Alligator mississippiensis: one gene and its partner. The protein of the gene in region 1 interacts with the protein of each later gene in a pairwise test. Links are inferred from orthologs where the notes say so. Each region holds a gene or a part of one and is shown in the gene's direction. Other genes may lie near its edges.

Region 1 (16,377 bases):
TTCCCTTGGGGTACCCTGATGAACAGATGTTCTACCAGATCCTGATGCACACCCCTGGTGTACTTATAGGCTGCCACCAAGTCCTTCCTGAACCTACGCTTCTCCAGGCTGAAGAGTCCCATGCCTCTCAGCCCCTCCTCATAAGGCCTGCTCTCATAGGTGCAAGAAGTGGGGGGGAGCTAATGGGGCTTAGCCCCTAAACATGGAGCAGCAGTAGGGCCGCAAGGCAGCCTGGCTGAGGGCTTCCAATGCAGCAGGGGTGGGGAGGGAGTGGGGCTGAGGCTGGGAGTGGGGCAGGCACTCCACAGCCAGCGGGGCTTGGGACTGAGCCACGAGCATCTTGTCCAGGGGGCATGGCTCCTGCTGCTACCCACACGCCAGGAGGCATGGGGGGCGTGTGCCCCTGGATCTGCAAGGGACAGGGCAGGCTGCCACTGGAGTCTGGGGATGGGGCTGTGCTGGGCTGTTCTGGGGGGAGGCAGCCTGGGAAGAGCCCAGTGCAGCCTCCATCCCAGCCCAAAGTGGCACCCTGCGCTGCCCCACGCAGATCTGGGGGCATGCACTCCCCACATGCATTCCAGGGACACATGCAGCAGCGGGAGCCACCACCCCCTCCTCATGTCCCCCGGGAAGCAACGACAACTCAGGGTAGGGTGGGTGCAGTAGTCCTGGCGGCTCCATCTCCTAGGGCTTGTCGGCACAGCCAAGGCTCACCCCAAGATGACTTTGATCATCTTTGTTGTCCCCTGCATGGGCGGTATGGGGCTGGGGCTGGGGCTGGTGCAGGGCTGGGGGGTGGCAGATTCATTGGTGCGGGGATGCCAGAGCTGCTCAAGGACCCTGGGTGCGGGGGAAGGGGTGGCTGCACAGGTACAGTGGGCCCTGGCCCCGATCCTGGGCCCAGCTCTTCTCCACTCCCTCCTGATCCCTGCCGGTCGTAGGCCCACTCCCTCACTTCCTCCCAGGGCCCTTTCCACTCCCCCCACAGACTTGCCTGCTGGGGGGGGGGGGGGGGGGGAGGGAGGGAGGACACGTATGCACATGCACACTCAGCCCCCTCCAAAAAATTTTCTCCTTCTCATGCCTTCTCTCTTGACCTGATCATGTGTGTGGCTTTCCTTTGGACTCTCTTAGGCTTCTCCATGTCCTTTTTAAAGTGTGGAGCCCAGAACTGGATGCAGTACTCTAGTTGTGGCCTCACCAAAGCCAAGTAAAGCAGGAGGATGACATCTTGGGCCTTGCTTGAAATGCATCGGTAGATACAAACCAGGATTTTATTTGCTTTGCGGCTGCGACATCGTATTGGTGGTTCATATTCATCTGGTGGTCAATCATGACTGCAGGTCTCACCCCTGAGTCTCTTTCGGTCATGATGCTAATGAGTATAGCACTGCTGAGCCTATAGGTACGATGTGGGTTCTTTCTCCCGGGGTGGAGCACCTTGCATTTCTCTATGTTGAATGTCATCAGGTTTTGATCCATCCACCTTGCAAGCCTGTCCAGGTTTGCCGGAATCCCCAGCCTATCCTCTAGAGCATGGATGGGGAACCTCCTGGCTGCTGGTCACCTGAGGACTCCATTTCCCAGCCACCCCTGCCCGCATGGCTTGTGTTGGTCTCTATGGAGACCCCAGCCCAAGCCCTGCAGTGGGCTGGTCCAGAGCTGCTGGGAATGTGGGATGGGGCAGCTTGTTTCGGAGCCAGGGCAAAGCCCCTATCTGTAGCCTGCATGTTCTGAACAGGGGCACACATGCAGGGATTGTGGCTCTGCCCCAGCTCCTTGCAGTAGCCAGAACCTGTCTGGAGCTGGGGCAGAGCCTCAATGCCCTGCATGCGTGCCCCTGCCTGGAGTGTGCAGGGTACAGATCGCAGCTCTGGAGCAAGCCACCCCTGTCCCACGTTCCCGGCAGCTCTGAAGCAGCCTCCTACACTGCTCTGCTGCGGTGCTCCCGGCCGGCTGAGGTCTCCATGGAGACCGGCACAAGCCATGCAAGCAGGGGCAGCTGGGAAATGGAGTCCCCAGCCGACCAACAGCCCGGAGTTTCCCCATCCCTGCTATAGAGTGATCGTGATTCCCCATAATTTGGTGTCGTCTGCAACTTAACCAGTCTGCTTCTGACACCCGAATCCAGATTGTTTATGAATATATTAAAGAGTATTGGTCCCAGAACTGAACCCTGGGGGATGGCCCTGGTCACTTGGTTTGATCAACAGTCACTCTCTGGGTCCAACCACAGAGCCAGTTCCCCAGCCATTGGACCATAAAGTTGTAGAGGCCGCAGTGCCCCAATTTTACCATGAGGACATCGTGGGAGACCAAGTGAAAGGCTTTTTTGAAATCCAGATATGTGACATCAACCTCTCCTCCCCTGTCCAGGTGACATGTCACCTGGTCGTAGAAGGAAATGAGATTAGTCAGGTATGACCTACCCTTAATGAAGCCGTTTTGGCTCTCTCTCAGAATGATGCCTTCCGTTAGCTTGTTGTTGATGGATTCTTTAATAATTTTTTCCAAGATCTTTCCAGGGATTGAGGTCAAACTAATTGGCCTATAGTTCCCTGGGTCTTCCTTCCTTCCCTTCTTGAAGATGGGTACCACATTGGCCTTCTTCCAATCTTCAGGAACCTCTCCCAAGCACCATGCATTCTCATTGGCTGTGCTATGATGTCAGCCAACTCTTTTAGCACTCTGGGGGGCATTCTGTCCAGGCCTTCTGACTTGTGGATGTCCAGCCTCTCAAGGTGCTCCCTCACAAGGTCTTTGCCAATTGTAGGCATATGGTTGCCCTTACCATGTTAATCCTGTGTCCTATCAGGCAGAGTGATCCCCTTGGGCTGGTGGAAAACTGATGCAAAGTAATCATTTGAGGAGATTAGCTTTTTCCTGGGTGTCAGTTGTCAGCTGCCCCATTTGGTTCAGCAGGGGTCCTAAATTGCCCTTGTTTTTCTTTTAACTTCCCATGTAGCTGAATAAGGACTTTTTATTTTCCTTGATTCCCATAGCCAGTTTGTGCTCAGTTTTAGCCATGGCTTTTCTGGTCTGCTCCTGACAGGTGCAGGCCAGTGATACATAATCCTCCTTAGAGTTATTTCACATCTTCCAACCCTTGTAAGCTTCTCTTTTAAGATTAAAGAGGTCCATGAGTTCCCTATTGAGCCAAGGAGATCTCTCGGCCCTTTTACTACCTTTCCTATGGAATGGGATGGACTTCCCTTGTGCTTTTAGGATCACATCCTTAAGGAGCGACCACTCATCATGGCCTTCCCTCCCTGTCAGATCATGATCTCTCGGGGCCTCAACGACTAGGGCTGTGTGAAGCTTCGGTCCCCGATTCAATTCGGCGGAGATTTGGCCCAATTCAGTGGCTGAATTTGAATCGAATCAATGGACCCTTTAATCTCTCCAAATCAAATTAGAACCCTCCAAATCAATTCGGAGAGATTCAGAAATATTCAGCTCTTGACTTGACATGTGCCAGATCAACACTCAGGATCTCAATATTGCACTGTTAGACAGGAGGGCGTGATACAAAATTATACACACACACAAACTACACATACACCACTATGAGTTCACATAAACATACACAAACATGCACTTCTGTGACTGTGTGAGAACACTAAGGGGTGTTTGGGGTAACTTCGTGCTCAGGGTTACTTGAGGTCAAGGTGCCTTTGGGGTTACTCGGGGTCACCTGGTGCTGGTGTGGAAGTGAGGGGAAAAGCCTGGTGGCAAGGAGGAGACAGTCGGGAAGCAGAGAGGCAGAAAGCTGGGAGATAGGGGCTGAAAGGAGGGGCAGAAAGCTGGGAGATCAGGGCTAGAAATGAGGAAGAAAGAACAGAGGGAGAAAGCCAGGAAATCAAGGAGGAGAGCCAGGAGGTCAATAAGACAAAAACGCAACTCGGGGTTTCAAAATAACAGTTTTATTCATCAGGCAGCACACTATACAGCCCCACAAAATTATTGGTTCACACACACACACACACACACACACACACACTGATATTCTCACACACATACCCACACAATGATAGCAGAAGAGGAAAGGCTTGGTGGAGGGACTGGAGTCAAGGTGTGTGGAGACAGAGTCCAGGTCCTTTGCTTGGGGGAAGAAGGTGGGTGATAGCTACCTATCCCAGGCTGAGAGTTGATCCTTGATGGTCAGTCAGGGTCTTTTCTAGCAAGGTGTTTTGCAGAGGGAGGTCGCTGGCAGGGCCTCTGGGTGGATAGGTGGCATGGTGTAGTGCTGGTCCAGATGGAGAGGGCATCCCAAAGAGGTCACGCTCTATCACCCTTTTTATAGGGGTGGGCTACCTGTGTCTTCTATGGGAAGGACATGTCCAGACAAGGCCAGTCCTGCTCAAATGCATACGTGCAGATCCAGGTGCCTTCATTGTCTGGTGGGATACAGTGGTGGGGTTTGTTGGTTTCTGTAGGGTCTTTGTCTTCCAAATGCTGGGGTCCTGTATCTTTCAAATGCTGCATTTTGTCTCTCTATTCCTGGTTGAGGTCTGTGGTTCCTGGGTGAGTCAATGCAAGGCAATGGTTGGGTCACTGAGTTGATGGTCTGGTCATTACTAATCATTCAGTAGAGGCCTGCTACCATTATGCCTCAAGCACACTCATTCATTCCCATTCATTCAGGAACCAATTTACATGAGATTGGTTAGACATGAATCACAGTTATAACATACTATACAATAGGTTATACCTGGGCAGGGGACACAAGATGTAGGCTTGACATACAAAATGGAAACTTGACATTACTTTACAGACACAGGCCTAAATCATATCAATACAATATAAAACAGTAAAAATCAATAAAAACGTAACAGAACACTATTTACATTATAAAAGGGGCTTGTTACTATAAGGGAGTATAAGAACTTAGCTTACCTATGACTACCTACAACTACTTATAAGGGATAGAGGGGGCAGACAAAGAGTCAGAAATGGTTGGGGAAGAGGAGGGAATGTATTTTTAAGTAAATAAAAAAAATAAAGAAAGAAAAACCTGGGGGTTTTGCTACACGGTGATTCAGCCAGAGACACAGCTTTAAATGTTTTTTCTACATACCTCTAGGTAGCAGGTGGCTCGTGAAGACTGCTATGCTGGGGCGCATGAAGTGTCCCACAGAAGCACGGGGGGCTCTCCAGCGTGCTCGGCAGCAGACCTGGAAGTGGGCCAGAAGCACTTCCAGGTCCACTGGGGAGCGCACAGGGGTCTCCCCCCTACACCCTCCCAGCTCGACTGGTGCCTCCTGGGTTGGGAAGGAGGGGAGGGTACCCAGGGACCCCCACAGCCAATCATCCACTTCTGAGTTCACCACTGAGCATGTGGAGGGCCCCCCCACACACTCCTGTGGGATGCTCCATCCGCCCCAGCATCACAGCGTTTACAAGCCATGCTGGTACTTCGAGGTATGTAGAAAAAACTTTTAAAGCTGTATCTATATCTGAATCACTGATTCTCCGAATCAGCATCGAATCTTCAGATTTGGCCAAATCAAATCAGGGACAGTGGTCTGAATCAACGAATCGATCACTGTCCCTGATTTGGGCCAAATCTGAATCCAAATTGAATAGGGCCCACTTCGCACACCCCTATCGATGACCAACCTCCTGAGCTTGTGAAAGTCAGCTTTCCTAAAGCCGAGGATTTTTGCATTGCTGACTGATTTGCCAGCTTTGTGATGGACAGAGAAAGTGAGCAACTCATGATCACTGTCACCAAGCTTCCCTTTGATCCTCAGGTTGCTGACCAGATTGTCCCCTTTGGCCAGAATCAGATTCAGCAGTGCCTTACCCTTTGTTGGCTCAGATTTCTTGAGTCAAATTGCTTGTCAATGCAAGGGAAAGAATCTGCAAGGAAAAGAAGAATCACTAGTACACTCTGTCCCCTGACACAAGACAGACAGGCTGAGCAGAGAGAGGAAAGAAAAGGAATTTCTTTCCTCTCGAGCTGAAAGGAGCTGTGACTGTAGGGTACACAGAGGAGAAGAGAAGGGGATGTTGTCTTGTCCATCTTTCCATGCTGGAACCCTCAACTGTGTCACTTGGAAGTGATGGTCGCTAGGCATTTAAGTGAATTCCAAGTCCCCTTTCTGTCCTACCTGACTGAGAGGAGAATTTGTTCTGGAGGTAATAGTTCTGCCTCTCCTTTGATGGCCCCTGTGCTGTATATGTAGCTACCTAATGCCAGGTCTTCTATACAACAGTTCTGCAGCTACAATTTTAAATTTGGCACCATTGGAAACAAACTGTGCCGAGGTCAGGACAAAGATTGGGACAGAATAGTGGCTAGAGGGACACCCATGGTAATCAGGCACAGCTCTTGCATGAATCTCAATTCCCAACCACCTCCCTTTAGGTCCCACAGGGTTGTCTTTGAGAGGGTGACTTCTGACCCCTTGTATTTTCTACTTAAGCCCTTCTGAATTATTCTGTCTTCTATACCTTTTTCTTAGTTAAATTATTTTTTTTCAGTGATTTATTTTGGTTAACATATAGTCTTCCTGGTTAGCCAGGAAGTGAAAAGAAAGGTCAAAGGTCAACAGCCAAGGATCATGAACCATATGGGAGTCACAGCTCATGCTGCTAGCATTTAATGCTGTCTTTAGTGACCAGTGAAAACCTAATAGCCAGGGATCCTGGTTTTTTCTATTTAAAAATAGCAAATTCTCCTATTCAAAAAACCACCAAACCCACGTTTTTTCCTGATTAAAATGGAACGCCATTATATATATAGGTATCAGTTGAACACAATATTTTAATGATATATTTACAACTAGCAAATTGTCCGTCATGAATGACAGGGGGCGGAGTTGGGGGGGGGCGGAGTGCTGCCATGCAGCACCCAGCAGTGCTGCTGCTCCGCCTCCAGCCCCATGCCCCACCCCACCATGTCCAGCCCTATGTGCCCCCCCACCTGTGCATCCCCCCCACATCTGGCCCCATGCGCCCCGCCACCCCCTGTGTCCAGCCCTGTGTGCCCCCCCCGCCCCCCCACTCCTGGTGCGGCCCTGTGCACTCTCTCTCTCTACCCTCTCCCACTGCAGGCTGGAATTCTGCCAGCTTGCAAGGGGAAACCCATCGTTCCCTCCATTTTTCTCTTTTAAAGGAGGAAATCTGAGTTTTTCTCCTTAAAATGAGAAAATCCAGGTTTTACCATGTTTTTCTGTGGCAAATGGGAAACCCAGATCTCTGCTAATAGCTAAGGGTTCTCACCAAGTTACAACAACCAGATTCTGTCTTGGGTTGCCCAGGAATGGAAGGGGCAGAGTTGGCTATGGCTGCAGTGACCAGGCTGACAGTGATGGCTGCTTTCATTCTTGCTCCCCCTCTATGTGGCCACCTGGGCTTGGTACCCTAATCATCCATCTCTAGTTATTTTACTGGTTCCTGCTCACGACCCATCAATGAACTGTGCTATAGGTCATCATCAAATCGAGGGATTGCCAATGATGACTAGCTCCTGACAGTGTCAGTCTATGAAGATAAGACCTAAAAATGGGTTTGTCACAAGGTGCCATCTTCAGGGGTGGCCATGAAGCCTCTGGAGACCAAAACATTTCTTTACCCTGCTCTATGGGCAGTTTGCCCTGCTCTTGCCCACCTTGCCTTGATGGTAATTGTTAGTAAGAATTGCGGGAGGCTTCCCTGGTTTTATTGTCATGACCAGCAGGTTTGTGGTCAAGGCCTTATGGGCCAGTTGCGCGGTCCCATTCTGCTCCTATACTGAACCCCAAGCCTCACAGATGGCATCCTTACTGATGTCCTCTCATCACTCCCGCAGCCCTTCTCTGGGTCCTCAGATCCCTCAGCCCCACTCCAGGCCTTTGGACCCTTTGGTCTCTCCACTCAGTCCCTCCCTGGGCTCCCAGACTCTTTGGTCTGTTGTCCAACCCCTCCAGTCTCTTCCTGGACCTTCACTGGGCCTCTGGATCCTTCTGGTTCCACTCAATTCCCTTCCTTTTCTGCTAGGGTGTGGTCCCTTAGCCTTCCCCCTCCATGGGGTAACCCACAAGGCAATGGGAGCTGAGGCTTTCAGGTGTCCCACGCTCACCTTTCCCTGGGCATTTTGTGGTGGATACCTCACCACAGGCAGCCCCACCATGCTGACCAGCAGTTTCAGGTCTTACCCAGGACCATCTTCAGGCCCTCTTGATTTAACTATCCTGGCCCCTCCTGGGCTCTCTCCTGATGTCATACACCCCTTCTGGACTGCAGGCTTCCAGCTATAGCCCTTGCCCATCCTGGGCTAAAAGCCTCCTCCCGCTGACACTGTCTCAATCTCACCTCTGGGTCCCTTGGCCCTGGCTCTCTCAGACCCATTTCTTGAATCCTCTTCAGAGGCCTTTCATCAGCCATCTTATCCTAGGTCACATGGTGCTTTACATAAAGCAACCAAGAGTTAGAGTGCCCGTCCATGTCTCCACCCCACCTGCCCCAGCCTCAAGAGATGTTTGCCAATTGGGTTGGAGGATGGGGGTGGCAAAATTCAAGGACAGATCTCCTCTTTGGAGCTGATTGAGCCCAAGGAACCTGCCTGCAGCCTCTCTCCTCTAGCCCCCACCCTCCTCATATCTAGTGCTGTCTGCAGGAAGGGAGGAAGAAGAAGGGAGGGGGAATGAGCTGTGGGCTGGGGTTTGCCTGGCCTGAGCTGGGGGGAGGGGTACTTTGGCAGTGGAAGGTATGAGGTGGGGGGAAATGTCTCCAATCCACAGCCTGCCTCTTCTCAGGTTAGGCAAACTGCAGCCCGCAATTCACTCCCCCTCCCCTCTTCCTTCCAGCAGACAGCACAAGGGACGGGGCTGGCCTGATGCAGCAAGATTGCACAACAGATTGACCCTAGGGAACAGACTTCCCTAAGATGCTCCAAAATGGAGTGCCTTCATTTGATCCCCCATTTGATGAGGGTTAATTTGCCATGCTATCAGCTACTTTTAAAGTGTTCTGCAGCCATGCATGTGTATTATGACATGGCTGTAAAGTGCTTTCAAAGGGTTGATCAGGCAACAAATGTTATTGTCTGTGCCCCTAATGACTCATTGGAATTTTCTTGATTCTTTCTAAGCTTTTCATTCTACAGGTGCTAATGACCCTCTTTCATTTTAAATGGTCTTTAATAGTGTCATTACTCCAGCTATCCTTACTTCTGCAATGCTGCTGTCTGTCAGCTGCTCCTAGTAACATAGCTTCAAATTTCACAGTCCTGCAGGCTGTTTTTTATCTCTAGCTAAAACATTAACTCAGGTGTGGAAATATTAACTCAGGTAAACATTAACTCAAGGGTGGAACTCACTTTAAATGAAGCATTGGAAGCAGTGTACAGATGCTTGAGAAGGCTTGATTTTGTTTTATGAATCTGAAAAACAAAGGTACATTTAGCTATAATGTCTTCAGGACTAATGAAACAACATATTTGGATTATTTTTGCCTAGTTTGTGGTGTTTTTATGTATAATATGTGATATAGCAAATGAATGCTCATTCTAATAATTCTTTTTGCTTCAGTCTTAAATTTAATAATACAGCTTTAGGCCCCTACATATTAGTGAAGCTTCTAGTTTCTTTTTAACTGGAGAAAATTGTCTGTTGTGTTCTATGTGATAATGCAATACACCATCTGCACCCCCCCTTTTCAAAATCCTAGATCCACCCATGTACCAGCATATTTTTGTGAAAGAACAACGGGTAAAAATAGGTAGGCAGAAGGGTGACATATGTGAGAAGAGTGCTGTCTGAAAAGGCGAAGCTGGAGGCAGAACTGATGAGGCAACCTGAACCTGTTAGAGGATATTTGGGACTACAGCCACATTTACTGCAACAATGGTGCCTGGATCACCCAACAATAATACACAAGTAAGTAATTGCATGGTTTAGGGCCTAGCTAACTTCCCTACCTAACTCTTTACCTTTGCAGCTCAGTTGCAGAGGATGTGGTTAGAAGAACTCCCTGGACATAAGTCTGATCTCTGTTGTGTAGAGTGATTTTTGATGGAAGTGCACATTTCAGCTTTGAACACCATTCTTTCCTACCTTGTCTTTCCCTTTAGGAAATGTCTAGTTACTGTACATTCTTATAGGTTAGCTTATTTTCCCCTAGAAAATCTCTGTTCTCTGCCTGACAGGGAACTTAATCAGACTCTGTTATTTCAGGAATTGGACTCACAGGGGAAAGGAACTCAGTAGTCCAGACTGGAATGAAACAACAGTGGGCCTCAGAGTTTAATGTGCTCAACTGTCGATGACTTGGGCATGTGATGTTAGAAACATGGGGTGTCCCGATTGTATGTTAGTGGCTCTATTATGTCCTGGACCTTTATCAGATTGCAGACTTATGTCCTGAGTTGTGAGAGAGCCTGACACTAGATCTGAGGCATTGATGGTCATGTCACCTTGTTGTGAGTGCCTTGGAATATGAGGACCTTGTGCTGCTGGACTGAGTGCCTTTGGCACTTAGGCTCAGGGTTTTTTGAAGAGTTAATATGGCAGGCACTTTGTTATTATGTTGGAGGAGACCTGGCACCTGGAGGAAGGAAGTTAAGCTCTAGGTTTATTTGAATGTAAATAGATACACACTAGCTACATTTTGTGAGATCTCATTTTGTGTTGAAGTGACATCTGACACACAGACATTGGGTTCAGGGTAGGATTTTGTTATAAACATCATAACATTGATAATCTCAACTTTTCTTATCAATAGATATAGTGAATGTTCTAGCCTCTGCTCATTACCTGCCAGTCCAAATCCCAGTTAAAGTAAGTTGTATTCACACAGCCCAGAAGGTCAAATCATTTTGCTAAGTTCATAGTCCCCCTCATAGTTCTACACTGACATCTAGTGGCCAGTTCTATCGTTTGTAATTACCGTTTTTGGTTAAAAAAAACAGTAATTATCATTCACTCTTCTTCCTGGCAACAGGGTGCCATTAAATGATGCAATGCTTAAAGTTAAACTGCTAAAAATGAAAGGTCTCAACTGTTCCTCCTCTTGTCCTCTCCCAAGCATAAACAAACAGGTGATTGATTGTTCATAGTCAAGTGAATTCCCAACCAGTATAATGTTTTTCCATGGATATGGGCATCTTCAGCAGATTATCTTGCCAAATACGCACCATCTGACCTAATACACACCATCAGAATGGGTGGGTCCATGATAGTTTAACTGGGACAAAATAATAACATGAAGAAGTTAATAACCGCACATGGTGGTTTCTTGCGCATATCAATTCTCATCAATAATGGATCCTTTTTGGCTTGCACCAGCCTCAAGGAGTTCTTCTTTTTAGCTGAATAAAGACCCCAGTCAGGATGGACTCAGTGATTCTCACCAGGCACAACTGCTCTTGCTGGTTCAAGGCCAGCATCATGCCCTGATCACACAGAAGATAGAGCCTTGACTACATTTGCACCAGACTGGTAAGACTCTCCTTCCTGCTTGCCTTTTCTGTGGTCTAAACGCCTCGTGCTTTGTGTAACGTATGACCACCAAAAAAAGTCCCTGACCTTGCAAAGAAAGGAAGTGCAGCTTTGAAAAGAGAGGAACAGAAAGCCTGTTCAACCAATTCTTCCGCTCAATCGCTGTCTCGCTTGTTTTCTCTACAGTGTTGTTATCCAGCAGCACCTTGGCGTAATCCAGAGCAAGAGGGATAGAAGGCTCCGTGGCAGCTGGAGATGGATGACTTGGGTAAGCGAGCTGCTCTCTGGTTGAAGAGCAAGGAATGGACATTTGAATCAAGGCCCTGAGCATGTTGTTTTATGCTAGCATAGGGATAGAACTAGTGCTGAGGTGGAAGGGTGGGTGTACTGGGGCAGAGCTTCTGGAGAGGGGGTTTCTGTTCCCTGTGTTATGAGGACATTGAGTGAAATTAAAAAGTGCAAGTTCAAAAGTAATAAAACGAAATGCTTTCCCTCCCCGCTGTGTTGTTAGCCTGCAGAGGGAACGGCCCCAGACTTTTGGTGAGACTAAGAAATTAGGAAGATTCAAAAGAGGGAATGGACATTTCTATGGGGAACTGAATGATTTTTTTTATGGCCATGCTAAAAATTGTGAAAGAGGATATTAAACCTTATATTTCAGGGTTTGTGGTTATCCTGAACTACAGTGTTCCCTGTATAAGTGCATTACCTCAGGACGGACAAAGGCTATTCACTGACCTTGAGTGTGCATTTAACCTAAATCAATATAATTAATACTTGTTAATTCCAGGGACATCCTGCAGGCAGTGCACCTCTTCACCATGTTTTTCAGAATATTTTATGCCTCTGATAGCAGCCTTGAAATTGACTGGGCCCAGCCAGTTCAAGGCCACTTCTGAAGCCTTAAAATTGGTGGCTTTTGCAGATTCACCAGTTATTCAATTAAGTGGAATACAGTCACACTGTAAAGTAGACAGAGGGGCCAAAGAGTTCTGGGCATTCACATAGTTCGTGCTCATAACTGATACACAGATAGATGCAGTTTGTTACAATGTAAGCACCAGGAAAAATAAATTGGCGCTGGCATTTTGTTTCATCATTAGGTAAATATGCACTTATCCCATATGCATAATAGTGGAGTAATATAGGAGCTAGGAGTTGTCCTACCCTTTCTTCTGAAGCAGCCTAAAGCTAGCTGCAGTAAGAGACAGGATACTGGACCAGGCGGCCCTTGGATCTGCTCCACTGTAGCAGTTACTATCTTCCAGAGGAGCACAGGTTAGGAAGACTAGCTTGATTGACTCAACAGCTCTGATGCTCTGCCCAGGGTACCAAAATTTCTAGTTATACTTCTGATCCTCACCCAATCCCTGCAAGGTAGGGAAATTTTAGCACTCTTTTTAATAAACAGGTTGCTCAGGCACCAGATGGTCACAAGAGTCCTTTCTATGAAGTGGCTTATAAGGAGGTATTTAAAGGAGGAAAGCGTATTGGCTTTATGGATCCATTCAGAGGAGGCCGGTCAATCAGAAAGGACAGCAGGAATATTTGTGGGAGAAACACGCAAATGGGCTAATGCAGTTGGCATCGCTGGTGGAGTAGAACGGGCAATGCTGATGCAGTGAGGGGAGTGGATAAAGACCTTTAAAGATGAGGCTGAGAAGCTAAAGCTTAAAAGATGATGCCAGCGGAAGAACTCAAGGGGGGAATAATGATATATGGTTAAGCTAACTAGCCTGGGAAACAATTACCTGTGTGTGGACTGGAATAGTGTGGAGAAGCAAGTGTAGAGAACTGAGAAAGACTCGTGTTATCTTCTTATAACTATCATATGTCCATCAGCATATCTGTACAGCATTACACTGCCTGACTATGCAGTTAGATCAAACAAGATTGTTGCAGAAACTAGGCAGGAAAGGTAAAGAGTGGCCTAGATAAACAGCATCTTTTTCAGATGTACTAGCGCAGTTTCTAGCTGTGAAGGAGCAGCTTCTCACCACCAGCCCTGGTGACCTGCTTTTTTGCTAAGGCTGAGAAGCAGGAAATCAAAAGACAAAGATCTGATAAAAGATCAGCCCATCTGAGAGGAGGAGGAAGTTGTTGGCACCTGCAGTCTAGAGCTAGGGACTGAAACCTGTGACATGGACTTATTCTTCAGGGTATCATTCTATGCCCCCTAAATTGACATGGTGGGCTTTAATTTATTCCATCACTGTGTACATGTGATAACCCAAAAATCTAATGAAATGCCTCATGTGCTATTCACAGTAAATTACTGCAGGAAGCACCACGTAACAATCCACCCAACAATCTACCCTGCTGATCTCTTCTTGTTAAATTAAACCAGGGGGCACCTGTCGTTCACAGCACACTGAGATGTACCTTCATTAGTTTTTTTATGCATATTTTAAACACACAATTTTTTTGTACAGATATTTTTTTTAAAAATTCTTATTCTCACATCCTTATTTTTAATTTTACTATTTCTAGTTAAGTATGGGGGGAGGTGTGTGTGTGCGCACACGCACATGTGTGTGCGTGCATGTGTGCATGCAATTTTACTGGTTGCTACTGTGCTCCTGGACGTCCAAGCAACAGTGGAACATTGAGGACCCATTAAAGTCCAATGAGTTGTTTACCCCCCCCAGCACACCCTGGGACACCCAGATGTCAGTACAGTGAAATAGGAGTTGATAAAAACAAAATGGTTTTTTTGCAAAATTTCTTTAATGAGGTAAGAAAAAAGTTCAGAAGAAGATTGATTCATGTCAGGCTCTGCAGTTATACCTAGAGTGCTAAAACATTCATTACACACAAATATCTGCAAATTATAGACAGTCCTTGGACTATGACACAATTGGTTCCTGAAAATCGTGTCTTAAGTCGAAATGTTGTAACTCAGAACCAATTTTCCCATAGGAAACAATGTTATAAATGGGGGATTGGTTCCTGAACCAAGGCCCGATACCCTATTTTCACCAAAAATAACCCAGAATTTTGTACTCAATCAATTTTAGATGAGTAATATAGCTACAGTAACATATTTATATTGTAAATAGGAATCATATTGATTTGGAACGATTTCTTTGAGGTGACTTTGCTGGACTTTTTGAAGCCTTCTCAGGAGTCTTGGCTGCAGGATTTTCTGGAGTCTTGTCTGCTTTCTTAAAGAAAGTGTCCAAGGAAGTTTAGACAGTTGTTCTCCAGGGAGATGGGTGATGCAGTGAACTTGTTCACTGGCATGGCATGGCATCGGATCAAGAGTTGTAAAGTCAAAAATGATGTCAGAAAGCTGAAATAGGGTGTCAATTTATAAATGTTGTAAGTGCAAAACGTAGTTACTTGAAATGTTGTAAGTCAAGGACTTCCTGTACACTGCAAATTACCTGCAGCTACCTGCAAATTGTAGTGACATCTGGTGGAAAAGGGGGCTTACTACACAAAAATCGTAGTGACACCCAGGGGACAAAGGGATCACTACACATCAATCAATGAATTACCATGTAGATGTGACTAACTTATGGCTGCATCATCACTAGAGCTGTGCAAAGCTTTGGATCACAATTTGGATTCAGAGATGATTTGGATGATTCGGAGGCCAAATCTACAAATCCAAATTGAATTGCTGGAAGCTTTAGGCTTTCCAAATCAGTTTGGAGCTTCCGAATCGATTCGGAAAAGATTTGGCAATTCGGCGATTCAGCCATAGGGTATAATGGGGAATTAATGAAATAGCTATAACTTTGCTGTCTTTTGGCTGATTCAGATGAACCTTGCAAGGACAGTAGTCTCTGCTGAGAGCGTGACGTGTGCCAAATTTAAAGGTGATAGGTGCAGGGGTTTCTGCTGTGACTTAACACACACACGTGACATGAGTTTTGCTTTCAGAACTTTCAGGTGCAATTTCCCAGAAACGCCTGCACCTAACACCTACTCTATGGCTGAAACTCCAAAATGGCTCTGAGCCTTCTGAAGCAATTTGGCCAAATCAAATTGGAATAACGATTTGGATCTCCATATCAAATCTCTGGCATCTGAATCGGCCAAATCCGAATCAAATAGTTCCCTATTTGCACAGGCCTAACTGTCACAAGTTTGAGCACCTCAAACCAAACTACATCAGGATATGGTCTAGTTTGTCACTATGAGAATTAGTTTAAGAGTCACAAAACTCATGTGTGTAAAGCGTGATGCAATTAAGCCACACAAAGCAGGATCTTCATCACTTGTACACAGTCTCCTCACCACTTGTACAAGCGCAGGCCAAAAACCAGTTCCCTAGAAGGGGGGGATATTAGAGCTAAGTCATTCCTGCCCAGCAGCTTAAGAGGATTGTATGCACAGGTAAGACAGTGTGTATATATGGCTGTGTTATGTGAAATCAGTTTCTTGGAGTGCTGTGCATCATTTGGCAAGCAAACCATGCATTTTGTTTAGAAGAAGTTGCTTCCATGTTACTCCTCCAGGAGTTCTTGACTTGATACATTAAGTGAAATTCTGTGGCCCATGTTACAGCAAAGTGTTTGATGAGATAGTCTCACTGTTCACTTCTGGCCAATCTTTTACTGTTCTCAGTTCCTAAAGGAAACATTTGCAGATGCCAAGCTGGTTGGGCCTGCTAAGTAACATATTTGGGCATGGGGATGGGCCTCAGAATGAACAGATTATCCAGGAGGTATGTGTGTTAGAAGTTACCCAAGGCAGATTACGATGAGCACTTCAGGATGGAAAGGAGAGGCCTGAACATGCAAATATAATGGGGAAAAAGATAGAGAGATTTTGAACATGTGGAATGAAAGAAAACATGGCTCCCAGGTCACTGGTTTGGCCAGTAGGAAGGAATGGCACCTTCATCATGTATGACTGGGATGCATATTTTCTTATTTGCCATCTGTGGGGAAGAGAGGATGGACAGAGACCATGTTAGGAAAGCAGGACTAAGGGCACCAGGAGA
Region 2 (13,572 bases), on another chromosome or scaffold:
TTTTTTCTCTCCTTGCCTATGTGTGTATAATACTCTTTCCCCAGCAGGTGTAATTTTAAAACCCCGAGGCTTTGTGTGGGTCTGGATGTATGTTCCTGTGTTGCACTGTTCCTCTTTGCTGCTTCTGGGGGTGTTGAAATGCTTTGGCAAATACCTCGCGGGGAAGAAAAGGGAGATGTTAGAAGTGAGAAGGAGTCTGGTGGTTCAAAGGAGCTGCTACTAGGCTCCATTTTGCTGCCGTGCAAAGGCTGTGGTTTCTCTGCCTTTGGTTGCTCCCGCTTAGCTGGTCGCCTCGCTTGAGGTGGGTTGAGGGCTCGGCGTGCAGTGCCAGAGGTGGTTGCAAAACTATACGCATTGAGGTCGGCTCCGCAACCGCGGGGGCTCTAGGATGGTGCCTGGAGGTGGCTTTGAGGGCTCTGGCGTGCACAGGTTGCGGGGTGGCCGGGGCATCTTGGCAAGTGGGCATGCTGCCCCGTGGAGGGATATGGACCCGTGTGTATGTTGTTTTTCCTCGGGGGCAGGATTTTAGCCCCGAGACCGATTCATTTGAGGAAGTTGGCGTGTTCCAGGCAGGTATCCTTCAACCAGGCCCAGAGCTCGCGTGCTGTATGTTCATCCCTCTCCCAAATCTGCAACCCCCCCCCCCCCCTCCCTACCCTTCCCCTCCATCCACACACCCTCCGTTTCGGGATCTCGTGGAAGTGTTGTCCGGGTTCGGCGCATCGTGGTCCTTCCAACACCTTGGGGTTGCCTGTGCGGGGGCTGCTGTGCAAGTGGGCAGCCCCCAAAACAATGGCATTTGCACAGCAGACACAACTTGCAGCTTGGAACCGTACTTATCTATGCTAATTACAGGCTGTCTGACAGAAGGATAATAAATGCAGAGGCAGAAGTATAGAAATATGTTTCTCCAGGCAGTGTACACGTTGACTCTGTAGGTCCAGGCTTGTTTTCTTGCTCTCCTGTTAATTCACTTCTTTTGCAAATCTATTCCCCCCCACCCACACCCCCCAAACCCACGCTCCTTATTCTTTCCCCTCCTCTGTTGACTTGTACTTCGTAACACACCCCAAACCGAGATAACTTAATATGCATGGGAGAGGAGCATTTCGAGCAGCTTCAGTCTTCCTCTATTACTTTTAGACGGGCTTCTCAGTGAACATTTTTGCAAGGGAAAGAGATTTTTTTTTCCTGATTGGTTTTTCTTGTTTTTTTTTTTTCTTTTTGCTTTCTTTTTTTTTTTTTTTCGGAAAAAAGCACCATAACCCCCATGAAAGAAATGGGTCCTGGGTTTTAATAGCACCTCGGAATTTATTGTCTCTTACCCTCCGACCAGTAAAGAGTCTGGAATTTGGAAGGCATAACAGCAGACAAAATTCTTAGCAACAGACGGAGTTGAAGGGGGAAACACACACACATGCACACTCACACACACACATGCACACGCATGCACACACACGCAGGTAAACAACTGCTTTAGTGCGATTTGCAACTAACTTTGTGTCTTTTCTGCCTCTTCCCACCCCCCCCCCCCCCGAGCTCTCCCCACTGAAACAGCAAGTCCAGGGGAGCTGCAGGTCAGGTCCAGCTCCCCTGTGCTGTTTGGGGGGTACTTTCTGCACAATAACTTTAAAGCAAAAAAAAAAAAAAAAGCAACCTGGAGAAATATGATCTTCAAGTAGCCAAAGAAATTTGGTGGCGGTGGCGAGAGGAATCCATCCATCAATCGCGTGGTTATAGGACGTGATGGGCTATTTTATTTTCGTGGAATTGCTCTTTCTTCGCTTTGTGTTTTATTGTATTTTATTTTATTTTCCAAAGAGGCTAGGAAACAGCCCTTCAGAGGTTTTTAAAAAAAAGAAAGAAAGAAAAGAAAAGAAAAGGAAAAGAAAGCAAGAAAAAAGCGCGTTTGCAAGGCTGGAGAGGCTGAGGGCAGTCGTCCCATGGCTGCTGCGGATTCAGACACCACCAAAAAGAAACCCCCCCAACCCCATTGTGTGCTATTTTCATAAGGGGAAAGGGTGGTTGAGCGGGTGGAGAAGGAACAAAGGGAAGAGAGGAAGAATTTGGGGAGGGGAGAGAAAGGGAGGAAAGGAGGAAAGAAGGACAAAGAGACAGAGAGCAAGGTACAGGATCGGAGGGGGGAGCTGGGAGCCTTTCTGCTGCTCAGGGATTAAAATGAAAGCGAGGGGCGATGCCTGCAAGGTTGCTTTCGTTTTGTTCCGAAAGCCAAGACGACCCGCAGCCCCCCGAGCTGGACTTCTCCCCGGAGCCGGGGGGCGTGCGGGGCTGCGGGGAAGGGAGGGGGGGAGGGCAAAAAACCCCCAAACCCCAAAACCCGGGTCTTTTTTTTTTTTTTTTTAATCCGAACTTGACAGTGTTAATTGAACCACGGGAGAGCGGGGAATGCGTGTTTGGACGCGGGGCTTGTCTGCCTGTCAAGGGTGGCGAGGTGTCTGCTGCTTCCAAGGCCCTCGCCGGAGCTCGGGCTGCGGATCTCGGCGGCCGGGAGCCGGGGGCTGCTCGGGCTGTGGCTGCAGGGAGCAGCCTTGCGTTGCTTTCCCAGCTTCAGGGTGCAAATCCCAGCAGCTGCTCTGCAGCCCCTGTGCGGGTACTGGCTGGTGCTCTCCAGGCCTGGAGCTCCCACATGGGGAGGTTTCCCCCCTTCCCCTCTCTCCCACCCCTTCTTCCAGGTTGGAATTGCCCAAACTAGAGTTTTCCAGCCCTAAACTTCTCCAAGTGTTGTGTATTTTCAACGCAGCCTCTCGGAGCTGAGCAGAACCACACAGGGGACTTGATTACCACCCCCCACCCCAACCACCACCTTTTTCTTTCTTTTTCTTTCTGCATTCATTTCTTTTTCCTTGAAAAAAGCATGGGGCGAGTTAGCCAAGGGAAAGCAAGGCAGAAAAACACAGCAACAGGGACCCAAAGCCTGTGACCATGGGCAAAGCAGCCAGAGGAGAGCTGAGATTTCTATCCCCTGCACAACCTCAGCAGATCAGCCTGCAAAGAAGTGGGGGGAAAAAATGAGCCCAGTGAACTGGAAAGCAGCTGGCTCCAAAAAGGTGTGAGATTTCAGCTTCTCAGGGCACTTCTCAAATAAATACATATATAAATAAACAGCTTCCTTGATTTTCTTTCAGTAAGGAAGCTAGCCTTTTTTTTTAAATATCTGTACAAATCCTGGGGTTTACTTTGTTGGCGGGGAGGGTGTGTTTGAATTTCCCAGTGGTGTGTTGCTTTGGTTAAAGGCAAAGCGTTTGGGGTTTTCTTATTTGATTTTATTTGGCTTGCAGAAGCAAGGGGGAGATGGGAGGAGAAGGAAGATAATAGGTAATCGCCCTTAAAAGCAAGTGAGGAAGCTACTGAGTTTACAGGAGTAGAGAAATGTTGACTCAATAGCTACAAGCGTCTCTTTGCAAACTCAAGGCATATTTTAATTGCCCCGTGCACTCCTGGCTGCGAACTTTGCGCTGAAGATTATTGCAGGGGGGTTATTTCTCAGCCCCATGTTTGGACTCGACTTGATCCCTGCAACTTTACGTTTATCCATATGGAGAGGGGTTAGCATCCCTGTACCAACAGGGAGGAAACAGGGGCTTGACGTGGGCTCAGGATTATATTCTGCCAGGGCACAGCTATAGGTTTCTGATCATATTCATTAAACCACCTTTAGGTTTTGTACTGAGATGAGCTGCCTCTGTTTTGCCTGGGCTGTTTCTCAGAGGCAGGCTGTCCCTTGAATTAAAGACGCTTGTATTGCAAACGCTGCGGGTTTTATTTGGGGGGGGGGGGTAATAAATCCAGTAGCAAGATGGGGGGTGAATAATTCTAAGTGGCGAAGGTTGCCTTGTAAATGCAAGAAATCTTTTGCCAGCTTCGTGTTTCCCTTTGTGTAACACAAAAATGCACCATTCAGGGCTACCTTAGTGACCTTGTCTGCTCACATTAAGGTTACCAGGACTGCTTTTTCCTTTAAAACCCTGTTGGTTTGATAATGTCTGCTCTAAACATTTAATGTCTTCTCTCTTTTGGTGGCTTTCCCCTACCACCTCTCCCCCCTACCCTCATTTTCTCTCTCTCTCTCTGCCCTGGCTGATCCCCTTTCTGCATCTGTCTGCAGACCACCGTCCTTTTATAAGGTTTCTTTTAAATATAATTCAACCCTGCAACAAAGCCAAGTTCCTTGTCGCCTCCACGTTTTAATATCACAGCATATCAACCACAGTGGAGAGTAAGCATTTTGCTCTTTTTCTTAAGGAAAAAAAAAAGGGGGGGACTGGGAATAGATAAAGAATGATGAATTTTCTTTTTTCGCGTGCACATAAAAATAGCCATCATTGGAGTCTTGTGATTGACAGATAAATTGATCTCAATAAAGGCCAAAGGGACGTGGTACTCCTATAGGACTATTTCCCTTTAAGGGCTCACATAAAACATAGGACTTCAAGCGAGAGCAGAATAAATTCTCAGGGATTTGGGCGAGATGATGACTTTCCTCCTCTCCACTTTGGGGCTCCTGGAGCACATGAGCCCCCACACATACACTCCCTTTCTATTGCCAGGGCCCCCTTTTGTAGCACGAAACACTTTTTTTGCAGCAGTGGTGCTTGATTCCTAAGGTGAATTAAGGTGCAAGTCTGTCTTCCCTCAGCTAAGACATGGGCTGCAACTTTCTAGGGTCTGGGAGGTGGGGGGCTTTCTGAATAGCATCATGTATACATTTCTCGGTGTGCATTTAGCTCCCTTTCTCTTCTGTCTGAGGAACTTAAACAGAGAAAAAATGGAGAAGAACAAGAAATGAATCCATTCCTGTCTTGGGATTGTTTCCTGAGAATTGCACACACTGTCCATAATGTCATAATGCCTCTCTAAGGGACACAGGAGCCCCCCCTCTGTCTCTCCTTTCTGTCTCCAGAAGAAACCACCATAACCTCCCTCTCCTCCCCAGTTTGGACCCTCAGCTCTGCCCAGTTGCCCTGAAATCCTGAAGTGATGCCCCGTCCTTGAGAGCACCAGACCATCCACCTTTGGGGCTCCTTTAGGAAAATCAGACGTGATTTCTGCTACTCCTAATTTTCCCCTCTTTTTCCAGAGAAATCATCTCAACTCCATTCATCCAATGGGCGGGAGCTATTTATCTACCTGCTTTTCTCTACGAAAGAGGTTATTTCTTTCCAAATGCAGCCAGGACATAAAGTGTTTTTTTTTGTTTTTTTGGTTTTTTTTAATTCAGCCAACTTCTTCCATCGATTTGTTGTGGGTTTTTTTTAAAGTTTCAGTGCCTATCTATTTATTAAAAAAAAGCATCCCTTCAAGTATGAGCCACATTGTTGCTTGCTCTTAACATGCCAAAGACTTCTCCTTCCCAGCTACGCCTTGAGAGCTGAAACTTGGGCTTACAGTTTTATTTAATGAACGACACATTTATGAACAATCAAATGATCCTCGTAAAAATTTTATTGAAGGACATAAAAACATCCCACGGCTACTCGCCGAATAATGTAGCCCTTTCACTGCTAACGCCGAGAGTCATTTTTTTTTGGGTGGTGGTGGTGGGGAGGTGATTATTTCCCATTCATGTTTTAAAAGGGGATTCCCTGCTTTGCTTTATGCCTTGCTTTTTTAATTCCTCTCCTCCAGCGGATACTTCTGTTTAAAAAATAGATTACATGTGCATGTGGCCAGCAGATTTCTCGCTGGTGATTAGCGCTGCACAAGATGACAAAAGAGCCACTTCTTTTTTTTAAGGGGAGAGGGAGGCTTTTTTCCTTGGGAAAGGGGGCGGGGGGGGTGTCGAGGCTGAACTCTCCTAGACTTCCCAGCGATGTCTTTTTACTGATATTCCGTGTAATGTATCCATTACAGAATACAAGCTGCAGAAGCAAAAAGACAGAGACAAATTACGTCAAGAAATAGTTCCTGGGTTACCTTACCCTCCCCACCTTCCCGGCTGCTCAGCTGGAGAGCCCCCCCCTCCCCTCCCCTTCCCCAGCCACCGAGGGAAAGCCACCTTTCGCTAATGAAATGCAAGCTGCGTGCCTCCTAATATCTGCCTTATTTCAAGAGTTTCGTGAAAAGCCAGGTCGCCGAGGCGCTATTAAAAAAAGACCTGCGGATTGATCCGCGCGATATTTTTGGGTAAATACAATCACGTGAGCGCGGGGAGCCAATGGCCAACTGGGAAAGGCTGAAAAAATAATTACCTGCCCTGATTGTTCTATGAGAAGATAAAAAGTACACATACAGTTCATACAATAATCTTATGAATGTAAAAGAGGGGGGAAGGATGTCCGCTTCGGGCCCCATAAGCAACTATTATGTAGATTCCTTGATAAGTCATGAGAACGACGAGCTCTTGGCGTCCAGGTTCCCCGCCACTGGCTCGCACCCCGCGGCCGCCAGACCTTCAGGATTGGTACCGGACTGTGCCGACTTTCCGTCCTGCAGTTTCGCCCCTAAACCGGCCGTGTTTACTACTTCCTGGGCTCCCGTGCATTCTCAGTCGTCCGTGGTTTACCATCCGTATACGCACCAGCCGCACATAGGGGCTGACACCAGGTATATGCGCACTTGGCTAGAGCCCATCTCCGGCGCTGTGTCTTTCCCAGGCTTCCCACCCAGCAGCAGGCATTACGGACTCAAGCCGGACGCTTTCCCCGGCCGGAGGGCGGAATGTGGCCCGATGGACGGGCGAGGTTATCCGGATTATATGTACGGATCCCCGGGTGACCTGAGAGACAGAACACCGCAGACAATTCCATCCCCGGAATCTGAAACCATCGCTTCCAGCAAACACAAAGAAGAAAAGAACGAATTAGACCCTAGTAAGTTGAAGTCATTCTTGTTTACAACCGGGAAGGCATTATAGCCTCTAGTACAGTACTCAATAAAATGAAATTACTTTAGAGCGCCGTCCCCTAAATCTGCGAGGCTCCAGGAAGAGCTGGGTTTAAAATAAAATAAAAGAACAGAAAAATATAAAGGAAAAAGAAAGCCCTCTAGGAGAAGCTAAGACCGAGCCGTGAGCGTTTGGGTTATTTTCTAACAGGAGAAGGGGGGAAGCTATTGGTTTCTTTGATAAAATATTCCTTGCCCCCCCCCCTTCCCCGGCCCCTTCCACCAAAAGAAAAAGGAAAAAAAAAAAGCTTTTTGGCTTGCAGATATTCCCACTTCCCAACAGCAAAAGGAGTTGGGCTCAGCTCCCTTCTGGCTGGGAGCTGGTTCCCTGGTGTGGGTGTGTGGAGAGAGGGAAGATCCCAGAATAAACAGAGCTCTGTGCAAAGGGAGGAAAATTATAGATCTGTCTAAATATACAAGCCATTCAGGGAAGAATCCCTTACAAGCCTCCAACACATGGGAAGCAATGGAAGGGCAGGCTGTCCCCAGCGAAGGCTGAGCCAGGAGGGTGAGGAGCTGGAAGAAGAAAGGCAGGGGAGAGTCTATAGGGATAAATAAAGGAGCATCTTTAGGCAGGACACTGGACCATCCACTTGGAGAAACATCTTCTTTAGTCTCAGGGAGAAAGGAGGGGAGGGGGGGGGGATGTTCAAGGAAACCTTGAACATAGCAGGGAATTAGTGGAAGGAGATGCCTCTTACCCCATGACAAATGTAAGCATTTTTTTTCCACACTATAAAACGCTCAGTTCAAATTGCACGTGTGTCCCTGAAGCACAGGCAGTTGCTTCTGTGAACACGAGCAGCTCAGGGAAGGCACAAGTCAGGGAACCCCACTTATATCGGGGACCCCCCTTCTTGGGGGGCACCTGGAAGAGACCCCCCCTCCATACGCATCTATGTGAGCGTGGCTGTGGGGCTGCCCAGATCCAGGCACACACACACACACACACTCACAGACACACACACACAAACATAAGCATGTCATGTGTTTATTAAGCCTTCTGGCCTAACAATCCGATCAAATGTTGATTTATAAATTAGGAGCCTGTGTGGTGCGTGTGGGTCCAATCCCAGCTGTATCGATGCATCTCCAGATAGAAATCAGCAGAGCTCCTTCTGTAAGACAGAGCTAGGATACAACATGCAGCTGAACCTGGGAGCATATTCCCCTTTGCTGGGGAGAAGCTCTTTTAAAAAAGGGAGGTGGGGAGGGCGATTAAAGATATCATTTTAAAGCTCACACACTTTTGTCACGGTTCCAGGTCTAACAAAGTGGGGCTGGGGGCAGCAGAAAGAAGGAGAGGATTTTTTGAGGCTTCAAAACTGGTTCAGGGAGCCAGTCAGTTTATCCTGTGTCATCCTCAAGATATTAAAACAAATAAACCAGGCGATCCAGAGCTGGTAGACTTCTCCAGGAGGCATGGGTTGTAAAGAGAGTTTATGGGCCTGTGAAATGGTGGGAATTTTGACTTTTTATGACTATGTTCTTAGATTACTCCTACCAGAGCTCATGTGGATCATTATTATTTTAAGCCCATTGCTAGAGTTTTATTTACTGAAACTTTTATGTGCAAGCAACAGCGAAAAGAGAGGAAATGGTCCCTCCAAAATAAACATCTTAAACTCTTCTGAAGGTCACTTGGAGATATTTAGCTAATATTCCCTAATTAAACAGGTTTCTTTAAGGGGAAGGGTATGGGAGGAAAGGACTGGGCGCTGGAGGGTGAGGGGGGAGGTGAGGAAGAAAATCAGGATATATATAAATATATATTTTGGGGGGAAATTTTTTCTCTCTATCTTCTTTCCCAGGCAACCCCGTCGCGAATTGGATTCATGCACGCTCCACAAGGAAGAAAAGATGCCCCTACACAAAATATCAGACCCTGGAACTGGAAAAAGAGTTTTTATTCAATATGTACCTCACGCGAGACCGGAGATACGAAGTAGCCAGGGTCCTCAACCTCACTGAACGCCAAGTCAAAATCTGGTTTCAAAACAGGAGAATGAAAATGAAGAAAATGAATAAAGAGAAAACCGATAAGGAACAGCAATAAAGTTGGCAGAGTCCAATAAGTGCAAGAGAAACGAGGGTGAGAGAGAGAGAGAGAGAGAAAGCAAGAAAGCAAGCAAGCAAGAAAGCAAGCAAGAAAGAAAGAAGAAAAAAAGCTGTTTCTTTGGTCCGAAATGTTTCTGACTTTGAATGTGCTGATGAGTGTTTAGAATTAGGCAAAAACAGCAAAACCCGTTGGACGCACCCTGCTTTTATAAAGATGCAGCTCAGTAATAAAACCAGAGGTCGTTTTTAGTTTGGGGGTTTGTTTTTTGGGGTTTTTTTTTTTGGTTCGGTTTCGTCCTTTTTGAGAAAACAAGCAAAAAAAAAAAAGTACTTGAATTTTTTTTTAATTTAGTATTTTATTCCGTAACTTAAAACTTCTCCAGTGTTTTATTTTTTAATTTCTTGAGTTTGTGAGTGCATATTTTGTACAAAAAAAAAGGGGGGAGAGGAAAAAAATAGAGAGAAAAGAAAAAGAAAGAAAAGAAAGGGGTTGGGGTGGGGCGGGTGGGGGGAGATCACTCCATAATGTTCTGTCATAGTGTTTGGACGTTTTTTGGTGTACTTATTTGTGTATTTTCTTCCTGTCTCACCGTTCTGTAATATTGTTCCGTTTTGCTATAGTTGAGCAGCTTTATGTAAATATATACCTAACATCACAAAAAAAAAAAAAAAAAGAGAAAAGAAATGCTAAAAAAAAAAAAAAAAAAATCCTTATCCTGTAGGTGTCCTTTATTTAAACATAGCAGCTACCAACGTGCTCGGGGGAATGTGTGGTTCCTCCTCCTGTTTAAAAAAGCCCTTGCAAAATCGCGCCAGGGAATTTTAGCCCTGATAAGAAATCGCAGCCTGTTGAAATGGAGGGTGTATGTGTGTGTATGTGTGTGCTGTGTGTGCATATGTGCAAATCCACCGTCTTGCAGAAAGCGAATGAAGAAGGGATGGAGGCTAGGGGGGGAAGGGGAAAAAAAAGAGACTGGCTTCCGCTCACAACATTTTATATTTAATAGTATCATCATAAAATGCGTTTAGGTAAGGGTTATCCGTGCCATAAATTTTTAGTTTGGGATAATTAATTGTGCTAATTTATGACCCCAGGCAATCGAAGTATATGTAAAAGATTAAATATGTATGCCGGGGAAGTGTGCAACATTGCTCTGTTTGACAACCGCCTGTATTGCAACTGCTGCGTGTTAGCACTGAAGTGCCGGGACTTAGAGAGGGGTTTCTGGAGCTCCTGCAACACACAGGCTCCTTCTTGCCTGGCAAAGGACAATGCAGTGGATGGGAGAGGACTGTAAAAAATAATAGGTTATGAGAAGAATGAGGAGAGGGGAAGGGGATGTGCACGAGGTGGTGAATTTGGGGGTTAAAAGTCTCCCTTGTTTTCCACCCCCCTGTCCCCAGCAGCGGTTGTTTGCAAAGGCAAGCAGAGGCGTAGAGAAGGGGTTAGGGGAGGGGGGCGTTCAGGCTGGATGGTGGCTCGTGGCGATTTCCCTGGCTCAAAAGCAGGAGAAGGCGCTGCCCAAAGACACTCAATGGCTGATATCCCCGAGAGCTGGAAGGGGCTGGATAAAAAACGAGCAGCCGGGGATGTTTCATCATAAAAACTTGTTGAGGGTCCCTTTTCTTTAATGAAACGAGCAGGGCGCTGTTTTAATCTTCCTAATCAAAGCCAGAGCAGGCTGGGGGGAGATGTTTGTCGCCTCCAAACCAGGCGCTCCCAAAATACAAAAATCTGGAAGCGATTACCCGGGGAGCTCAGAAAAATATCGCTCTTTCATATTTCTTCCCTTGGCATGTGGAGGGGGCTTTGGCTTATGGATTTGTCTGCGCCAGGGCTTGTGTGTGTGTGTGTGTGCGTGCGTGCGTGTGTGCGCGCGTGCAAAAGGGGCGAGATACATTCATCTCAGCATCCTCAGCATCCTTGCAAAGCCAGAAGCCCCACGTTTGCAAGGATCTTAAGGAGCCCAGGGAAATGTTCAGGGTAACAATATTGTAGTAGACCGAGGGGCTAAAAGAGCTGATTTGACTGAAAAAACAACTAGCCCTCTCCATTCATGTCTTTATTTCCCTTCCTCCTGCCCCCTTCACTCAGGAACCTCGACTGAAAGAAGCCGGGAGGGTCTGAACACTGTATTTGCAGTCATGGGTGATGGTGGGGAAAGGATCCTTTGCTTTGGGGGAGTTCTCCCCTTTAGCAAGGGACTTTGCGAGCAGCCTCGGACCCACCTCTCTGGAGATGCCTATGTAATGAGACGCTGGGGCGAAGGGTGGAAAGCAATGATGTATGCCCCCCCCCCCCCCCAATTTTGTCCCCTTCAATTCAAAGCACTCTCATCCCCCAGGCGACCGCAAGAAACTTCCCTCGCCCTGCCCATCTCGTAGCCTTCACACAGGCAACCCACACAGGCAGCCCAAGAGGCAGGGAAGAATCCGACCCCTTTTGTCTCCAGCTAAGTGCGGTGGGGCTGTCTTTTGTTCCTGATGCCTTGGTTGCTTTTAAATCCCTGCTGCAGTCCCAGGTCACGGGCAAGGCTTCTGTAGCACCCCCCCATATCTAGAAGTGGCATTTGGTCCTGCAAAGGGGGAAGGGGGGGGTTGACCATAGGACTGGAATGTGCTGCCTTGGGAGGTTGAGGAGACAGGCAACGGGGCTAAAAATAACCCGAATTAAAAAAGAAAAAGAAGAAGACATGAGCACACAAAGCAGAAGGTGGGCTTGAGTCCTTGAATGGGATCGAAAAGGCTCCGGTGCAAGGGGCTGGCGAAGGGATATGTGCGGGTGCATGTCACTATTTTCCTGCTGTAGTATTTTTGTGTGTGGTTGTTTTAAAGGACGATCCTTTTGTAAGGCGCGCGCACACACACACACACACACACACACACACACACACACACACAAAGCCAGCATACCGCAGCTTTGAAAGCGGTCCATAGGTGCACTTCCGCAGCAGAGGAAGAGGGGGGCAAAAATGCTAGTTTTACAACTCTGTTTGTCTCACTGCTATGCGCGCTGAATAGGAGCGAACAAAACAGGACTTCAGATCTGGCTAGACGTCTGGCTTTAATTGTTTTATGGTTTAAATAAGGTGGGTGCTCTCTTCTTTGAAACCGGATTATTGGAATGTTTTGTCTACAAGCTACAAACAACAGACCCCCCTTGGACGAGAGGAGAGGGGGAAAGGGAAGCAGGGGGGAGGGAACCCCCCCCCCTTCAGTTAAAAACTGATAAAAGCACTGCAGTTTGGAGGAGGGTGTTTGTGTGTGTACACATTGGGCCTTGGTTTTTATGGGATCCTTAAGCAGAAAAGAAGAAGGGGGTGGGGAGGGGATCCCAACCCGCTACACCCGCTGCAGCGTTGATATAACAACAACCACAGGCGCACTGTTTGGTGAGGGGTCATTGCAAAGCTCCTGGTAAATCAACAATGCATGTAATTGTTGGTTATAAAATGCCTCCTGATTATCCCCACGCATCCTGGAGTTTAGGCAACCCGTTTGGGGTTTTCTTTGGCTTTCTTTTTAGCCCGAATTGGATGTGTTTGCGGAGGAGACTCCCCCCCGCCTTCCCTTTTCTCTCTTTTTAATGACAGAAGGGACTTGTTTTGTGTTCCCAATACAAGGTGTCTTGGAGGAAGCCAACGCACGATGGCGCTGTTGTTCAATATTAGAAGTAGTCGGGCCCGGGGAGGTACAAAGCGTGCCATTGCACCCACAGGCCTCTGAAAGGTTTCAGGAGGAAAAAAAAACCCAAATCAAAACAAATATGTATCCATTCCCTCACCTATGACTTGTAAATTAACATCTAATGTGTGCCGGAGAAGCAAACGCATTAAGCAACTGTCAAGGACCCGGGGTCTGTGCGATTCTAAAATAAAAGAATCATCTCTGCAAGAGATAACTGGTTGAAAAGGAAAAGCTCAGACCATCGTAAATTAATTATAGCTGATGAGACACCTTCCGTCCAGCATCCACTAGCAAATACATAAAATGCTGAGGAGAAAGCTGCTTTGTTTGAAGTCTTGTTCTTTATTAGCGCTAACACACGTTACACATGTTGCAGAGGCTCTTGGCGAAGGGAAGGAATAGCGGAGGCGATCACATTTTGGGTTGCAAAGCAGAAGAGGAAAAGGGGGAGGGAGGTGGGGAATAAACCCGAAATCCGTACAATGACGTCTCTTAAAGTACAATACAGTTGTATTTATAAAGCTACATTGCAAAGCACGCATACACAAACTAACATGGGAAACACGGAGCTCCACAAACTCCCACGGAGGCACAAAACACAACGCGGAAGAGACAAAGAGCAGCACCGTAAATGTCACGATTTTTTTTTAAAGCCCAGAGAATTGCACATCACTGATCTGATGAGTGTGTGTGGTTCTTTAAATAAACCCCAAAAAACAGACCTTGAAGGGAAACATTTATTGTTAAGCTCTCACGCAATTAAACAAATATGACTCAACTACCCAGTGCCTCTTTGATTATGACACAAATGCGTATTCGGTTGGGGGGGGGGGAGACAAAATTCAATTTCTAGGAGATACAATTCAAATCATCCCCATATTTGACATCTTTTCTTTTCCAGCCACATCGTGGAATAGCTTGGGA

The links.
Region 2: the proteins of LPXN (region 1) and HOXC9 interact in binary tests that used the Homo sapiens proteins (3 or more experiments, as listed by UniProt). The two-hybrid records come from large-scale screens. The link is inferred for Alligator mississippiensis from reciprocal best matches to the Homo sapiens genes LPXN and HOXC9.

What each region holds. Positions count from the first base shown.
Region 1 is NC_081825.1:172,163,469-172,179,845, forward strand, and holds the start of LPXN (leupaxin), read left to right. Parts: upstream 1-9,293; 5' UTR 9,294-9,380; intron 9,381-9,654; 5' UTR 9,655-9,863; intron 9,864-11,270; 5' UTR 11,271-11,423; intron 11,424-11,451; exon of another isoform or gene 11,452-11,609; 5' UTR 11,610-11,678; coding exon 11,679-11,691; intron 11,692-16,377. UniProt on the Homo sapiens protein: Transcriptional coactivator for androgen receptor (AR) and serum response factor (SRF). Contributes to the regulation of cell adhesion, spreading and cell migration and acts as a negative regulator in integrin-mediated cell adhesion events.
Region 2 is NC_081838.1:8,245,897-8,259,468, reverse strand, and holds HOXC9 (homeobox protein Hox-C9), read left to right. Parts: upstream 1-6,147; 5' UTR 6,148-6,268; coding exon 6,269-6,830; intron 6,831-8,714; coding exon 8,715-8,959; 3' UTR 8,960-9,047; downstream 9,048-13,572. UniProt on the Homo sapiens protein: Sequence-specific transcription factor which is part of a developmental regulatory system that provides cells with specific positional identities on the anterior-posterior axis.